Linked DNA regions of Coturnix japonica. The protein of the gene in region 2 purifies or fractionates together with the protein of the main gene of each other region. This does not show direct contact. Links are inferred from orthologs where the notes say so. Each region holds a gene or a part of one and is shown on either strand. Other genes may lie near its edges. The genes, in order: APTX, LIG3, PARP1 and TDP1.

Region 1 (4,112 bases), on a different chromosome or scaffold from region 2:
TTTAACTTTTGAGCAGAACATTACTGCAGCTGCACTCAATCCAGTTCAACTAAATATCACAAGAAGGCTTCAGAGTCAAAGTAACTTGGTTATCTTATTTAGATAAAGCCACAGAATCACAGAATGACCCGGGTTGGAAGGGACCTCAAGGATCATGTAGTTCCAACCCCCTGCCTGGCAGGGCCACCAAACACACACATTTACTAGATCAGGTTGCCCAGGGCCCCGTCCAACCTGGGGCCACTTACAATGTAAGATCAACTTCCATTTTGATATCGTGGCACCTTACTTAGCACTTACTTTAAGGCTTGTTACTCCTGCGTTTCCTACTCAGTAACAAAAGCTAGGCAACCATTCAGCCAAAGCTTTCCAAGCACAAAGCCCGGTTAGAGACCAACACAAAGCACGGCTTCAAACATTGCACTATGCAACTACCCTCCCCTTGTTTGCTTCGCGCGTTAAGGGACGGCACTTCGGCCGCTTGCACAGATCGGATCCTTAAGGTAAGGAAGCTCACTAAGCCGCACCCCCCACTCAGCTCATTAACCACGGCCTTCAGCGCTACATCTCGCGTTCCCTGAGCAGCCCTCCACCCCCAGGCTGCCTACGGGAACATCCTAAGAACAGCAGAACTGCTCTGCGGGCCCGGGATGGGGTCAGAAGCCGCTCATACCTCTCCTCTCCCTCTGCATCCTCCCACCGCCGCCGAAGAACATGTCGAAAATATCCATGGGGGACCCGAAGCCGCCTCCCGATCCGCCCTCCTTGATGGCCTGCTCGCCGCCCTTGTTGTACAGGTCCCTCTTCTTGGGGTCGGACAGCACCTCATAGGCCTGTGAGATCTGTTTGAACTGCGGGATGGACACACACACACCTCAGACACCCCGCGGTCCCGCCGCTCCCGGCCCTCATTCCCTGCCGCCCCTCACCCACCTTCTCTCCCTCATTGGGGTTCTTATCGGGGTGGTACTTCAGGGCCAGCTTGCGGTACGCCTTCTTCAGCTCCTCAGCCGAGGCGTTGGGGCTGACGCCCAGCACATCGTAGTACCTGGTCTCCTTCACCATGTTGGGCCCTCACTGCCCGCTCTGCCCACACAGCCCCGCTCCGCTCCCGACTCTTCTGGAAAGTTCGGAGCCGGGCCGTATCCGGCGCTTTTGAGACGGCGCCGCCCCGCCCCGGAAGTCAGCTTCAAGAGAGGAACAACCAATAGGAGAAGGAGGCGGAGCGCGCTAAGCCAATCAGCGCCTTCAGCCTCAGCGAGGCCCCGCCCACTCAGGCAGAAGGACTCGAGACGGGAGCGCGCATGCGTCCTTGGCGGAGGTTGTGCGGGGTCGTGCGCGGTGTAGGCCGCGTTGCCATGGTGCGGCCCGCGATGGCGGGCGGCGCGGCCCGGTAACGCGGTGTGTGCTCGGCTCCACAGCGCGGCCATGAGGGACTGCTGGCTGCTGGCCATGGAGGAGCGAGGCCTACGGGTGCTGCTGCCCCACATGGCCGACGTGGTGCTGGGCCGCGGGCCGCTCACAGGCATCACCGACAGGAGGTGCTCGCGGCGGCAAGGTAAGGCCGCGCCTCCCGGCTGCTGCAGCGAGCATAAGGGGGGGGGGGAGTGCTGTCATGTCAGCTTCATCCTTGTGTGTTGTTGCTTAGGACGTGGGTGATGAGGCAGAGCTCTTCTCTCTGCCGCAAGGCTGAGGGTGCACGAGTGTTTTCCCCAAGGGCTGGGTGGGTGGATTTCAGGCCTTTCTTTTCACGGCTTTTCATGACTTTTTGTTCTTTCAGTTGTGTTGAAAGCAGACTGTAACGAGGGATATGTTACTGTTAAGCAGGTATGTTTTTAAGCGGTTTCTTAGTGTTTCTAATGCTTACTGGCCTGTTATGCTTGAAGTCCACTAATACTGCGAATTACAGATCTCATCCTAGATTATGAAGTCCTGGAGCTATTTTGTGGCCATCAGGAGTTCATCAGATGGTCACAGAATCACAGAATGACCCGGGTTGGAAGGGACCTCAAGGATCATGTAGTTCCAACCCCCTGCCTGGCAGGGCCACCAAACATACACCTTTACTAGATCAGGTTGCCCAGGGCCCCGTCCAACCTGGTCTTGAACACCTCCAAGGACGGCGGCATCCACAAACCTCCCTGGGCAGCCTGTTCCAGGGCCTAACCACTCTCCTAGTGAAGAACTTCCCCCTAACATCCAACCTAAATCTTCCCTCTTTTAACTTATAACCATTTCCCCGTGTCCTGCTATTGTCAGCCCTTTCAAAGAGTTTACTCCCCTCCTGGGTGTGGGTTCCCTTCAGGTACTGAAAGGCTGCAATGAGGTCACCCTGCAACCTTCTCTTCTCTAGGCTGAACAAACCCAATTCCCTCAGCCTGTCCTCATAGGGGAGATGCTCCAGCCCCCTGATCATCTTCGTCAGAAAGTCCTCAGAAAGGGTCTGTTTTCCATTTGTACCTCAATGCAGGAGCGCACAGCTGTATTGCTGTCCTGCAATGTGACATGTGCTTTGTTTGACTGAAACTGGCACTGTAGGATGAGGAGGCTTTGGCTAGGATTGGGCAGTCACTCCATCAGATTGAAGATGAGGTGATGAGAAGCATAGTGATGTCTTGTGAAACAAGCATGTTTATGACCGACAGGGTTAAAGAAACATGAGAAGAGTTTATCAGTCAGAAGCAAGAACTGGTTTCCAAAACTTGTTTTGTATATAAACATGAACCAGAAGCATTTAGCTGAAGGCAGGGACTCGTTTCCAAGGGTAGTCTGCATAGCCATACAAAATCTGCTCAGTTGGCCCATGTAGGTTGCCCATGCCATGTTGTGTTACCAGGTATTGCTTTTCCATTACCAGCTGAACTTCAGTAGCTTCTGAGTCTTTAAAACATTATTTTGAATAGAAAACAATTTTCAAGTTGTGTTAAAAGCATAAGGTTTTATGCTTTTATATATAAAAAAGGTTATAAAAGGTTAAAAGCATAAAAATGTACTTCAGCCTGTATATACCTGGCACGAGCTGAGGTGGGCAGAGAGGTTTAGTGTAACTCCAAAGAACAGACACATGTTCTCACTGGCTGTGTTTGAACAGTTAGTTGTGGTCTGGGCAGTGGTACATCTGGCCTGGGAAACAAGAATGGGGGCTGGGAGCTGAGCCCTGTGCAACAGTGTCCTTTGGGAGCTCCAGTAAACTTGTTTCCTCGTTTCTCTTTTCATTACACAGGAGGGAGTGCATTGCAAGTGTTAGCAGTGTGCTGTGGTTAAATGAGAGCTAGCTGCTGTGAGCCTAAACAACCATCTCTTGAGATGAGCTGCAAGTACAGGCTTATGTATTTGAAGGTAGATGTATTGATGGGGTGGCATTCGATAGGTGCTGGATAGATAGCAAAATGTAGTAACAAAGAAAAGAGGATTGACAGAAAATAATGTGAAGTGAGCTTTCTGTGAATTGCTGTATTGAAATAGCTTGTTAAAACTGCTGTTATTTTTTTCAGAAATAATTGTTGCTGAAGCTTTGGTTTGTGTCCAAATGGCTGCAGTCATGAGATTGGTCATTGCCTGGTGCTGCCAATCTTGAGCTTCCCAGAATGGGATGGGGTGGAGTAAAAACCAAACACATAAGCTTTACAGCATGGTGGTTCTCAGGGGTAGCTGACCAGTCGCTGCTGGTGATTTCAGTTACAACATCAGCTTTTAAAATTATTTTTCTCTCTACCAAAGATAGGAGTCAACACAACTAGTGTTGACTTAGTGGATGTTGGCAAGGGTGAAGAGGTGAAAATGAGGCCAGGCCAAGTTCTGCATATGGTGAACAGACGTTACCCCTTTGTGGTGGAATTTAGTGAATTTAGTGAAGAATCAGAGGAAACTGTTACGGAAGAAGAAGAGAAAACACAAACTGAAAAGAGGCCATTTGAGGAGTCCTGTGTGGATGATACAGAAAATGTTCCCAGAAAGGCAAAGAAGATGATGGTGATGGATACACTAAGCAGTTTTTCAGACTTCAGGCCAAGCAAGAGTAGCACACCTCTATTTGAAGAGTCAACGAGCGGAAAGGCAAGTGTATTTGTATCAGTACTTCTGCTGTTTCTCCTGGAGTTGTCTTCTCCATT
Region 2 (3,656 bases):
TACCCATCTGAGGTCTGAGATGTGCTTTCTGAAGGGAAAAGCACCTTCTGACTACACTGTTTTGCTTGTTAAATCAAAATCTGGAAGACTCGTTTAATAATCCAAAGGAATATAGTGATCTGAACTAATAAAGTAAATGGGAATATTTATGTGCTTTATGTATGCTGTACATAGTTTAAATATTTTAAAGTTAATATTCTACTTGAAATGGCATGTTATTCTCTATTAAATCCTCTCGGTACTATGATAGTTAAACTTACTAGTTTTGGTACGGAAGCTTGGTTTATAATTTTATAATAAAGTTGAAATGTGATTTAGTTAACCTTGTTTTCTGACTCTGTTACCAGCAGGAGAAAACCAGGAAAGGTTTGGGATATCAGGTGTTTAAATATTGCAAGGTGAGGTACAAGGACAGCCTTGTTAAAGGGGAAAAAAATAACCTTTTAGCAGTACTACCTTAACTTTGTGGAAAGTGGGACAAACAGCAAATAACCTTTGGAAAAGAAGCTCCTGACAGCAAAAGGAGAAACTGCTTCAGTTTATTTATTTATTTATAAAAAATACCCAAACTTTAAAAACCCACAGAGATGAAACCAGCACCTGGATAAGGGTGTTGGTCTACACTATGGGCAGAGAAACAGAGACAGCAGTGACATCCTTCAGAGAGCTATTTTAATTCATTCCATATAGCTGCTATGGATCATCCTAACTACCTCTGATGGACTTGAGCACGATATCTCTATCCACATCCCCACAGAGGAATCTCACCCTTTTCTTCCACCTACCTACTTCAACTGTTCCCCTTGGGGATTTCCTGAAGTGTAGCAGTGTAAAGAGCACTCAGCTGCCCTGCCTGCTAGCACAGGGCCACCAGTCTCCGTTTCCGGATGCATTCCCAGATCCATTTGGGAGACACCCGCTTAGCACCAGGATTCTCATCAATGTCCCCAATAATGTGTGTTGCTGAGGCTGCGTCGTACTCTGACACAAGATCACCATCGTATGCTATGAAGTAGCGCTGGATTTTCTTGTAGTCCTTTACAGTGGGTGACAAGTAGAGCTTCACACCAGTGAATATGTCCAGCAGCAGCTGTGCAGTGTGAAAGAAAAGCAAAGGTTGGTTAAAAAGTTACACTATGTGGAAAATAGCTTAAGATTATACTTGCATCTCACTGAAGAGTAACGCTCATACAGCTCCCTTAAAAGGCAGGTACTACAACAGAGCAGTGACCCCTGGATAAGGGAATTATTACTCCATCAGTAACCCTTGCATGTGCTGCCTACACATGCTGATCAGGTGAATGGGGTTTTAATGCCTTTGCCTTTACAAGCTGATGTTTCTTAGTTGAAGTGGGAGACTATAATTGCCCTGGGAGTGGACTTGCTGTTGTGGAGTAGCAAACAGCTACTCCAATCTTATCAGTAAATTATAGCTCAGCAATTCTTAATACACTCCTACACTTTGCTGCACAATGAGCTAGAAAGGACAATTCCTATACAGCTCTTTTCTATAAGCAGCCACTCAACAATCACAATGTGTTGCCTCTGAAGAGCAGGACGTTGTTGGTTGCTGGATAGAGAGCCTTGAGAATGACAAACAAAGTAATGTCAACTCTGCTGGTATGGGAAAAAAAACACTGCAGAAATCTGCTTTCTTTACAAGTCTCATTATCACTATCTCCACCCCTAGATCTCCTTTTAATTTGGGATGCTGCTGTGGAAGTTTTGAATGCTTCCTACATGGAAGGTAGTATTGAAATGTCTCCACTTACTCCCACCTGAGTGGTTGCTGCCCAACTGTCCGTACCTTCTTTCCATTGTCTTCTATCTCAGATGCTTTTCGCTTCTCTCCTCGTTTCTCCTCTGCCTTTTGAGGGGATTCAGCGACTGCTTTGGTGCCTAAAAACAAGGATGTATCTCACTGTTCCTGTCTACAGCCCAGCTGTATATTAAAAGGAGGCAAAGAAAAGCAAGGATATGGAAAGGTAAAAGGCTTTCCCAATCTGTTCTGGAAAATCTGTGCATTAGAACATAACTGGTAAGATGCTGCTTTCTACCACTAATGGTAGAATTCATCAGGGCATCTTCCTGCCCTTCTTTCTCTCCAGCTGACTCCATAGCTCAGCCTTCCTCCTTGCTGTCACCACACCATATTTCTGGGATTGCTCAGAAATCTGCTACAGGTTATTCTGCAGCACATGGCTTTGCAGTCTACTATCTGGAAATCCCCTCCAGGTGCCTTGCACTGTATGTATGAACTTAAGCCAAATAAAATTAAATGCTGGTTCATGGCCAAAAGTATCTAACTGAAGGGCATGTAGCTGCAGGAACAGGAGCAGCAGGTTTGCTGCTCAGACCAGTCTTACACAGTCTGTTAAGGACTGTGATTAAAGATAAAAAGGAACTGCAAGTCCCACAGAGATTACATCATGTTTAATTTTGGTGGTGTCTATAACTGAGACACCAACACAAGCCAAACCAAGGGTTGAAACCAGCTCTGCCCATTAACTAAAACATCTTTATAAAAGCAGCGCGTAGAAGGTGAAGAACACATCCTGAGGTTCCCCTCCATGGGGAGAGGCCTTACCTTCTGGTTTCATGGCTTTTGCAGGGGACTTAGGAGGAGTTTTAGTCATCTTGTGTGGTGTGGAAGACCTGGAATTTCCCTCATTCTCTCCACTGCTGCCAGCTGTGGACTCCTCCTCCTCCCCAGCAACAACACTGAAATCAGCCTTTTCTTTGCTGAGTTGGTACAGCTCCTGTCCGAGCAGAAACAAAACATTCCCTTTAGCCAAAGTGAAACCTCTCATAAGCGGACATAAGCAGTAATTCATGTGCTCCTCTCACTTTCTATCCCCACCCCATGAAGCATTTGCTCTTACGTTTTTTTCTTCCTGCACCTCTTTGTCACCATTTTTCTGTCAGCTATGTTCAAGCTCTCTGCTCTCTACCCAGCAGCTCAACATTAAGAGAAGCCACACATTAATATCATCTACCAGTAAGCAAGTCAGACTAACTCCTCAGAGCCTGGCTCTCTGGACTGAAAAATGGCCAACATCCAACATTCTGTCCGAGAGTATTTTACCTCTCTTCCCCCCTACCTGCACAGTGAGCCAGAAACATTCCTGCAGAGAGACTGAATCCTTTCTTCGATGGCATGACAAGCATTTACATCTGCTGTCAGTGTCCCTGTAGGCAGTGCGAAGACAGCCCAAATGACAATGACTAGACTGAGAACAGAGCACATGGGCAGCTGACTTACTGCTTGGGGTGGCACCAGGCCAACTGGTTTCTATCACTGAAGGAGGCATAGAAGCTGCATGGGGCAGTGCAGCCCTGGAGCAGGGCAGACTGCCATTTGGCCCCTGTGCTATGGAACCAGGCCAGGCTACCCTTAGTCACTTCCCAGATGCCTCCTGCAATCTCAGCAATTAATGAGAAACCGAATGACCATAAACATTTAAGAGAATTAAGGTCAGCTCCTTCAGGAAGGAAATTGCTCACCATGAAGGCAGTTACAAGAGCTGATAGAACTAACTGCCAGCTAAAACCTTCCCCAGAAGCACACAACAACAGCTCTCAAGACTCAAGGAGAAAGAGAACCATGGAAAAAAATAAGATTCACATCAAAATAGTCCAGAAAACAACTTGAGCCT
Region 3 (4,057 bases), on a different chromosome or scaffold from region 2:
ACTATTCTTTTGAGACTAAGATAACAAATCCACGACCCTTTCATCACAAATGTATATGAGGGCAAGTAACTGTTCCTCGAAATCACACGATTTGCCGCATTCCCCACATACCCTTCAGTCTTAGTAGCCGGTAGTTGCTTCTTCAGAGTTTCTTTATCTTCAGCTTTCAAGATGCTGAAGCCCAGGAGCTGGGTGGCCCCATATGCAGGGAGGAAGCCCAGCTCTGCCCGGCGGCTCACGAAGCAGTCCGGGTGGTACCAGTTATCAATCATCCCCAGCTGTGGTTTTTCAGGATGCACCATCTTCTTGGAAATCCGAATCTGGCCCTGGGGCAGGTTAAAAAGACACAACAGCAATTGTTAGGCTGTCCTGGGAGAAGCAGGATGTTAGTAAGCTCGTTATCAACATGATGCTTCCTGCACACCTGCTAAACGCCAATAGCCCCTCCACCAAAGCCTGAAACAACTGTCCAAGCCTTTTCCTTACAGCTCCAATGCTTTCACTAATACCTTGTCCTAGGCTGGAAAAAGTGCCTGTTAAGTAACTTTCTGTTGAAAAAGAACACTTAAAACAGATAATTCTGTAGTCTTAACTTCAACTCCCTGCCAGTTAACTTGAATAAGCAAAGATAAGCAGAGATCACATCACCAAGCCCCATGGAGGGGATTCTGAAAGCTGACTTTATGTCCTTATCAGTCAATCTTTACTACAATCTCATCCTCTGGAAATTACTTTTCAGATACCCAAGGAAGTACTTGGCTTAAGTGCTTCTAGACTGCAATGCTTCCTACACCCCAGCCACTAACACTTCTGGAAACACAAGTGTACCAGCGCCGTCACACATCCCTCACCAACTGCACAGAACTGGCAGCTCTATTCTCACCTATCAGAGGCTCACGGCTTCACTTTGCTGATTGTCTTTAAAAGTAGGGCAACAAGACAGGCTGAAATATGGGGCAGCATCATTAATTAGACGTACTGCTGTTTTTGTCTGATTTATACACTGCACAGAAACAAAGGAGAAGAAGCAGCTAACATCTCTGCAGTGCATGAACAAGCAGAAGGCAGTTAGTGGTGGCTCTCTCTTTTATTCCAACCAAATCTACTGGCAAGCAGCATTTCAGTCTGCCGTAATGCTCATGCAAAAGGAAGCATCAGCAGATCAGAAGTCCGGGCTCCAGTGCCTGAGGCACATGTCTTTATGTCAGTATTCCAAGACGCAGCCGTTCCTCAGGCACAGAAAATCAGCTCTGCAACTGCCCTCCAAGTGCAGGACATACAGGATGCAGTAGCAGAAGCTTCTGTTTGAACTGGGATCAGTGGGAAAACAGGTGAGATGGAGAACTAAAGAAAAGCTTTTTACCTTTTCTATTTTCTGCTCGCAGCCTTTGCAAGTGCTCCTGTTAGACTTGGCATACTCTGCAGCAAAGTCAGTTAGGCTCTTGTCCGCTTTGCCACCTCCTTCCTGGTCCCCTCCTTTTCCTGCAGATCAAAGGTAAATACAGAGCTTTAAAAGGCACCCTCCCTCCTTGTTTGTTTCTCCCCATCTGTTACAGATTATTAGCAATCTGGATTAATAAACCTCTGTGTTCTGCTTCAAAACAGAACCCCTCTCAAAATTTAAGTCCTCTTTCAAAGTGACAGCTTCCATTTCCTATTTTTTTAAATTTTAAAATTATTAATACACTTCCTCAGGCTGACATCAACCTGCTGCAGGGACATGGCCATCAAGTAACTGTAACAACAGCCTGAGATGACAGAGCACGGTTCCAGCTTTGAACACCAGCAGAGCTCTGCTTACCTCCTCCAGGGCCTCCGGTTTCAATGGCCTTCTTGATTTTCTCCTGGTCCTCCCAGCGGAGCTCAGGGAAGCCATCAATATCCGCGTGGGACACGATCCGTGCCCGTTTCCAGAAGCAGCTGTAGTGATGCCAGTGAGGGACTTTGCCATCAAACATGGGCGACTAGGAAAAGCACACGAGGCTGAGGTGCAGCAGCTAAGATCCAAGCGAGCGGGGTGGGGGGTATTTGGGTAAACACCGGCCTTGCCCCATAAGGGCCACCATCGTGTCAGAGTCCCCACGATGGCAGGGGAACATCCCAGCCTGCAGCAGGGCGGCACCACAGCCCAACCCTGCAGCTCCGCAGCACCTCGCCCGCTGAGAGCTGTGCTGGGCTGACTTGGAGCCGCCAGGTCACAGCCTGGCAGCGCTGCGGCACCCAGCAAAGGGCACGGCCCGGCGGTTTGGCACCAAACAACGGCGGCGTTACTAACACCGCGTGCTGCGGGCACAGGCCCGCCCTGCGGTAACACAGCCGGCCGCTCCGTGCGCCCCGGGCCATACATAGATGGGCCAGGAGGAGCTGCCGGCTGGGTTGGATGCGGCCCTGCCCACAGCCGCTCAGCATCGTTCGTGCGGCGGAACGCGGCGCCGCATCCCGCAGACAAAAGGCGGATGAAACGTGGCCACGTGCAGCTCAGCTCGGCTCCATCGGCTCCACCGGTCGCCCCGCGGTACCGCCGCCCCCCGCCGCCCCCGGTTCGGATCCGAGCGCTCCGCAGCACCGTGAGGCCGAGCCCCGACCCGCCGCTCTGCGCCCGGGGGCGGCAACCGCGAGGCCCCCGGCACTGCAGCCGAGCCCCGGTGCGGCCGTACCTGCACCATGAGGGCCAGGCGCAGCGAGTCCTTGGCGATGCTGTCCCCGCACTTCTTGCAGGCCGCCCGCCCGCTCTTGGCGTACTCGGCGCGGTACGGCTTGTCCCCCGGCTCCGCCATCGCCACCACCACCGACACCACAACGCGGCCCCGCCGAACCGAGCCGCGACGCGCGCCCACCGCAGGCAGCAATAGCCGAGCGCCGAGCGCACTGCCCGCCCCGCAGCTTGGTCGCCATCCACCGCTCGGGCAGCGACTCGGCATGTCTGGCGGCGCATGGAACCTTCCGGTGCGGTGCGGGGTATCAATGGGCCGGGGCCTTGTGCGCTCATGTCCGCTCGGTGTGATACCGCCTTACAGCAGCAGGGGGCGCCAGCAGCACAGCACGAGTGGGGGCACTGCGGGCCGTGTTACCCTGCCCATATGGATATTTATATGGATATCTATATGGATATCTATATGGATATCTATATGGATATTTATATGGATACTTATCCTGTCCATATGGATATGTTGCTTATTGCACGGTGCTGCACACAGTCACTATGGCTGTATGACCTTGCTTGCATTGAGGCAGCTGTATAGGTGCAACAAGTGGCTATGGCTCAGCTGTGCCTTCCCTCTTTGTGCCAGCGATCAACCCCTTGACATCAGCCAGACCGCCCCAATGGGAATGGGACGCAAAGCCATACAGCCCACATTAAAGGTTTGGTGGCCCTGCCAGGCAATGGAACTACATGATCCTTGAGGTCTCTTCCAACCCGGGTCATTCTGTGATTCTGTGAGTGTCACAGCATCTCATAGTATCACAGTATAAATGAAAGGGATTATCCTACTCTCTGGGACAGAATGTATCTCCTACCATGGCTCCTGTGGGGTTTTGGTGCCTAGAGCTGCCTGGCACTGAGATGTGGTTAGCGGGCATGGAGCTGACACACTGATGGTTGGATGTGATGTACTTAATGCTATTCTCTAACCTTAATAGCTCTATGATTCCTCCTCAGCAGTCCTGAGCAGTTTTACATTACAATCCAGCACAGAACTCCCTGGGAAGCAGCTCTGATGGTTTCCCCCCTTTTTTAGAAAGCTTCTTTAAATAAGCTTCTGTTTTTTTAGCATTCCAGATGCATGGGAAAATGGATGTGGGAAGAGGCGAGGAATGAGCGGTTGGTAGAGGAGAAGCAGGATTTCAAACCGACTGAGAACTCCACCAAGCAGCCTCATCTCAGTAATTACATGGCAACATAATAGGGGTGTGGCTTGTACATCTAGGGAAGATCATAGTCTAAAGTTGATACCATAGAGCCCAGCACAGCCATGGTACTTGCCGCAGTTATTATCAGAATGTTTGCACTGACATTACCCACAGGTGGAAATACTGTGCTATCATCCTTGCTTTA
Region 4 (4,059 bases), on a different chromosome or scaffold from region 2:
GTGAAGAAGGCCAGGTCTACTCCAGCAGCAGTTCCATGTTTACTTTATAATAATTTGCTCTACTGAATTTTCAGTAAAATGCAAAATGAGAAGAAAATTCAGTGTCATCTGTGATAAACTGCCATTGTCAGAATGTCCTTTAAAGGAAATAAGAGCTGCTTCCACGACGGTATACAGCAACTCTAGCCATGACGTATCATTCCAGTTTCTTTCACACACTTCTTTCATGCTCATCCAACACAGAAATTCTTATTCTGTTTTCACATTTCATCTACTGCACTGCTGTCTTGGCCTGCGATTGGGTGTCTTAAACATTACCTAATAAAAATCAAAACCAGCCATACTGAATTGTCACCATTTAACATTGTCTCATAAGAGGCAAGAAATCAGTTGAGAAATATAGTGGAATAAGTGTGGAATATGCCTATGTGCACATAATTGAGAAGTACTGGTTTATCATTCAATTATAAGATGAATTTACATGAACAGAGTAACTTGGAAATTGTATTATTTCATTTTTGTAAAGCAAGCCTACCTGTACTCCTCAGGATACTGTCTCACGAGCCATGCCACATCTATACAGTAGTTAAACTTGTACATAAGAAGGAAAACAAGCTCATTAAAAAGAAGTAGCCGTCTGTCAGAATGATGGAGTACAGAAAAAAATGCTTTTTACATGAAGTTATTGTTCATTATCACTTACATTATACAGACGCACAATGATGCTCCTTTGCACAACAGCAGTACAAAACTGCAATCAGCATGTTTTAACAACAGGTTCATTTTTCAATTTCAAATGCTCTCTTCCTCATCTCTTCATTCAAGAATAAATTTAAGTTAATCAAAAGCATGAAGTAGTGTTCATAAAGTTTAGAATGCAGACAGAAATAATTACAGCCACATAATGTAAAAGCTGAAGTTCAGCGTGCCCTTTGCCATGTGGTTACACCAAGAAGAAAAGGAATTGCTTCATGCAGTAACAAAAATCTCACTCCTAGAATGCAAAACACCTTCTGTTTTATCATTCAGTTACATGAGGATGCATTTTTCAGTTGCACATTTCCAGAGCACAAGAGAGAAAGTAGTTCAACATTTGCTTGAACTCTAAGCAGAACACAGGATCACATTTATTTTTTATTAAAACAATGTACAGTTGAAAGCATTCAGCGTTCTCTTAGTATTTTAATGAAATTCCCTGCTGAAATCAGCTAGGTGGCAAAACATGGATTATCACTTACATGTTTAAGGATAGTAAGGGTAAATAAGCAAGCAATGGCAATCTGGCAAATAGGAAACTCACCTGAGCAGAAGACACAAGGGTCCCAAAAAGAGGAGACAAGATATCTATTAAAAACATTAATACACAATTGAGTATAAAAAGCTCAAGTGAACTTTTTGAGTCTTGAACAGCACAATTACTAGATGCTAGATTCAGATACTGAAGTCCCTCGTTCTGCTGTGAAACCCCCTGTTAATGATTGGTTTTGATTTAGGCTTGTGATGCGTGAGGTTTCCTGAATGTACGGATGTAGTTTTACATAAACTAAAACTAATTTCAGTCATGGCATTATCAAACCATCAGTGTCACACGCTATTCCACCTCTTACTTATGCTCACTTCAGTTGCCCTGATGTGTGACTGAGAACATAAGCTGCAGAAATTCACAGGCAGTATTGTGTACTGTGTCAAGGTAACAGTGATTTACTAGGTCTTAACTACTTGACACCATAAAGACAAGAACAAACAGGACCAGTTCCTACAATATTCACACTCAAACTACGAAGCTTAATTTAAACCAAGGAATCTTTGCATTTTAAAAAACCCATAAACTAACATTAAGTGTCCTCTTGCACGCAAGACTCTCCCACCCCAAAGCCCGCTCCTGTGAGATCCTCTTGCTCACCTTTTATGTGCAGGGCTCCACAATTGTAGCTCTGCTCAATTCCCCTGACTTTAGTGAGAAAAAACCCAAAGGGGTTCCCTCCACTCAGCAAATCCCAGGTATCTTGGGGTTCACGTGACGCTTCATTATAGTCCTCTGCTTTCTCAATCTTTGAACGTTCATCTTTGCAATGACTCTGTAGTTGCTCTCCGGGTGCATCACACTTTTCTTCTTTCAGTGTTTCCTTGCAGACTCGCTTCCCCCGGTCTTCAGGCTCTTCATCGCTACTAGAAAGGCACCAACCCAAGCCCTCCTGGCCGGGCCTCTGCTTTTCAGCAGGAGGTGTTTGTGCATTGAGGTGCGTGTCAGTGAACTTTATTGGAGAAGCCTTCCTCTTGTGAGCAGCCCTCCTCGCCTCAGAGCAGGGGTACTGCGGCCCGCTGGCTTCACTGTGCAGGGCACTCGGTAGCGAGGACGTCGAGGGCTTTTCACTGTCAGAATTGTCTTCAGCGCTGTCCTCACTGCTGGACACAGTCCACCGCCCGTGGGCACCTTCCTGAAGCATGTTACTATAAATGAAGAAGAGACTAGAAGTCATGCACTTTGCTCTGCTCCGGGCTGCTTCCCTTCCCACTCTCCGCTTGCGTGTTATAATAACCTCCACCCCCCAGATCTGACACGATCCTCATATGCAAAACAATAATGAGCTGCTCCCAAGAAACAAAGAAACAGAAACGGCTATCGAGGAGGAAGCGGCTGCAGTGGCTCCAACTGCCGCTCCCACCCTTCACGGCAGCAGCATGATGGCGTTACCATTACCAGCCCCAGCCCGGCACACACCACCACCCCACAAACACACCGCTCACCACAGCGCCTCTTCGCGCCAATCTGCGCCCGCCCCTTCCCGTTCCGGGAGGACGGCGGCTTCCCCAAGCGCTCGGGCTGCCGGCCGAGTTCAGGAGGTGGGGAAGGCGATGGTGCCTCTTTCGCTCCGCCCCACACAGCGGCGCCGTTGCCGGGCAGCCGCCGCCGTGGGTTCGCTACGGGAGCGCTGTGCCACGGTGCGAGACGGGGCTGCTGCGGGAGGGGACGAGGGGCCTTGGGAATAGTGTAGTTTGGTTCTAGAAATCTGTGCCGTGTCTTCTAAGTTTGTTTTGGGAAAGAAAGCCTTTTAGAAGAAGGGGAAAAAATATTTTAAATAATAATAAATAAATAAAAAAAACACCTCAAAATGGACCATTCTTAGTCCCTCAGTTACCTTAATGGTAGTTGAAAATAGTTGTTACAGAGGTGGGACTGAGCTTCATTATACGTATCTTTTAATCGTTTAGTTCACTAAGCAAGTGCTTATTTTTCCCATAACAGTTATTTTAAGTAAAAAATAGTGTGTCAGATTTGTTGTTTTTAATGCAGCTCGCTTTGTTTCTGCAGGTTTTTGAAGTGTGTGATGAAGGTAACAAAGGCTATCTGGACAGAGAGGACTTTGAAGTTGCTGTAGTGATGTTGTTTGGTTATAAGCTGTCAGAGGTATGTATCTGAATGAAATCAAACCTTTCTTACTAAGATGTTATTCTGTAGAATGAGCAGAAGCACACACTGTATTTCATATCTATGTGCCATATGAAACAAGTGATATACTGGGCTTGTTATTGGTCAAGATTCAAAGTCAAACTTGCTTTTTATTAGCGGTACGCTCCATTTCTTTACATAGTGGGTTCATGAGATGTAAAGCAGTTGTACATACTACTAATAAACATGTATTCTCAAAAACACCTAGTTTTGGGTTCTAATGAATGTCTTTTTTAGCCTTGGCTTCTGTAATATAAATCTATAGCTGTATGAAATTCTCAAGGTGATCATAGATAACTTTTTGTATATGATCAAATAACATAAAAATAATAGAAATATGATTTATATGATATTAAATTCCTTAGTAGGAATTCTGCAAGCATGATTAAGGCATTCAATCAAGAGCAGCTTCTGTGCATAAATCACTCTTGATTCCTTTTTGTGAAGAAAATAGAAGTGGAGAACTCCCAGGAAGAAGGGAGATGTAGGTTTAGTACTTTCTACCTGGAAAAGTGCCATGTCACACCTGTTGTGTCTCTAGACAGTGCTGTGACCACCTGGCTGTGGGCTGTTCTGTCTGTGCAGCTGCACAAAAATTAATTGAAAAC

What was found.
Region 1: the proteins of LIG3 (region 2) and APTX purify together in Homo sapiens (affinity purification with mass spectrometry; 3 studies listed by BioGRID and IntAct, with this or other methods). This does not show direct contact. The link is inferred for Coturnix japonica from reciprocal best matches to the Homo sapiens genes LIG3 and APTX.
Region 3: the proteins of LIG3 (region 2) and PARP1 purify together in Homo sapiens (affinity purification with mass spectrometry; 3 studies listed by BioGRID and IntAct, with this or other methods). This does not show direct contact. The link is inferred for Coturnix japonica from reciprocal best matches to the Homo sapiens genes LIG3 and PARP1.
Region 4: the proteins of LIG3 (region 2) and TDP1 purify together in Homo sapiens (affinity purification with mass spectrometry; 4 studies listed by BioGRID and IntAct, with this or other methods). This does not show direct contact. The link is inferred for Coturnix japonica from reciprocal best matches to the Homo sapiens genes LIG3 and TDP1.

What each region holds. Positions count from the first base shown.
Region 1 is NC_029547.1:62,425,020-62,429,131, reverse strand, and holds the start of APTX (aprataxin), read left to right. Parts: upstream 1-1,285; 5' UTR 1,286-1,428; coding exon 1,429-1,558; intron 1,559-1,780; coding exon 1,781-1,827; intron 1,828-3,720; coding exon 3,721-4,056; intron 4,057-4,112. Other genes in the region: DNAJA1 (dnaJ homolog subfamily A member 1), read right to left, coding at 674-851, 934-1,065. UniProt on the Homo sapiens protein: DNA-binding protein involved in single-strand DNA break repair, double-strand DNA break repair and base excision repair.
Region 2 is NC_029534.1:3,391,740-3,395,395, forward strand, and holds the end of LIG3 (DNA ligase 3), read right to left. Parts: intron 2,760-3,656; coding exon 2,588-2,759; intron 1,900-2,587; coding exon 1,808-1,899; coding exon of another isoform or gene 1,773-1,807; intron 1,091-1,772; coding exon 857-1,090; 3' UTR 512-856; downstream 1-511. UniProt on the Homo sapiens protein: Isoform 3 functions as a heterodimer with DNA-repair protein XRCC1 in the nucleus and can correct defective DNA strand-break repair and sister chromatid exchange following treatment with ionizing radiation and alkylating agents.
Region 3 is NC_029518.1:14,815,049-14,819,105, reverse strand, and holds the start of PARP1 (poly [ADP-ribose] polymerase 1), read right to left. Parts: upstream 2,861-4,057; 5' UTR 2,778-2,860; coding exon 2,658-2,777; intron 1,965-2,657; coding exon 1,802-1,964; intron 1,483-1,801; coding exon 1,364-1,482; intron 327-1,363; coding exon 112-326; intron 1-111. UniProt on the Homo sapiens protein: Poly-ADP-ribosyltransferase that mediates poly-ADP-ribosylation of proteins and plays a key role in DNA repair.
Region 4 is NC_029520.1:39,634,481-39,638,539, reverse strand, and holds the start of TDP1 (tyrosyl-DNA phosphodiesterase 1), read right to left. Parts: upstream 2,845-4,059; 5' UTR 2,749-2,844; exon of another isoform or gene 2,742-2,748; intron 2,718-2,741; exon of another isoform or gene 2,696-2,717; intron 2,452-2,695; 5' UTR 2,448-2,451; coding exon 1,904-2,447; intron 1,345-1,903; coding exon 1,301-1,344; intron 592-1,300; coding exon 536-591; intron 1-535. Other genes in the region: EFCAB11 (EF-hand calcium-binding domain-containing protein 11), read left to right, coding at 2,857-2,943, 3,314-3,409. UniProt on the Homo sapiens protein: DNA repair enzyme that can remove a variety of covalent adducts from DNA through hydrolysis of a 3'-phosphodiester bond, giving rise to DNA with a free 3' phosphate.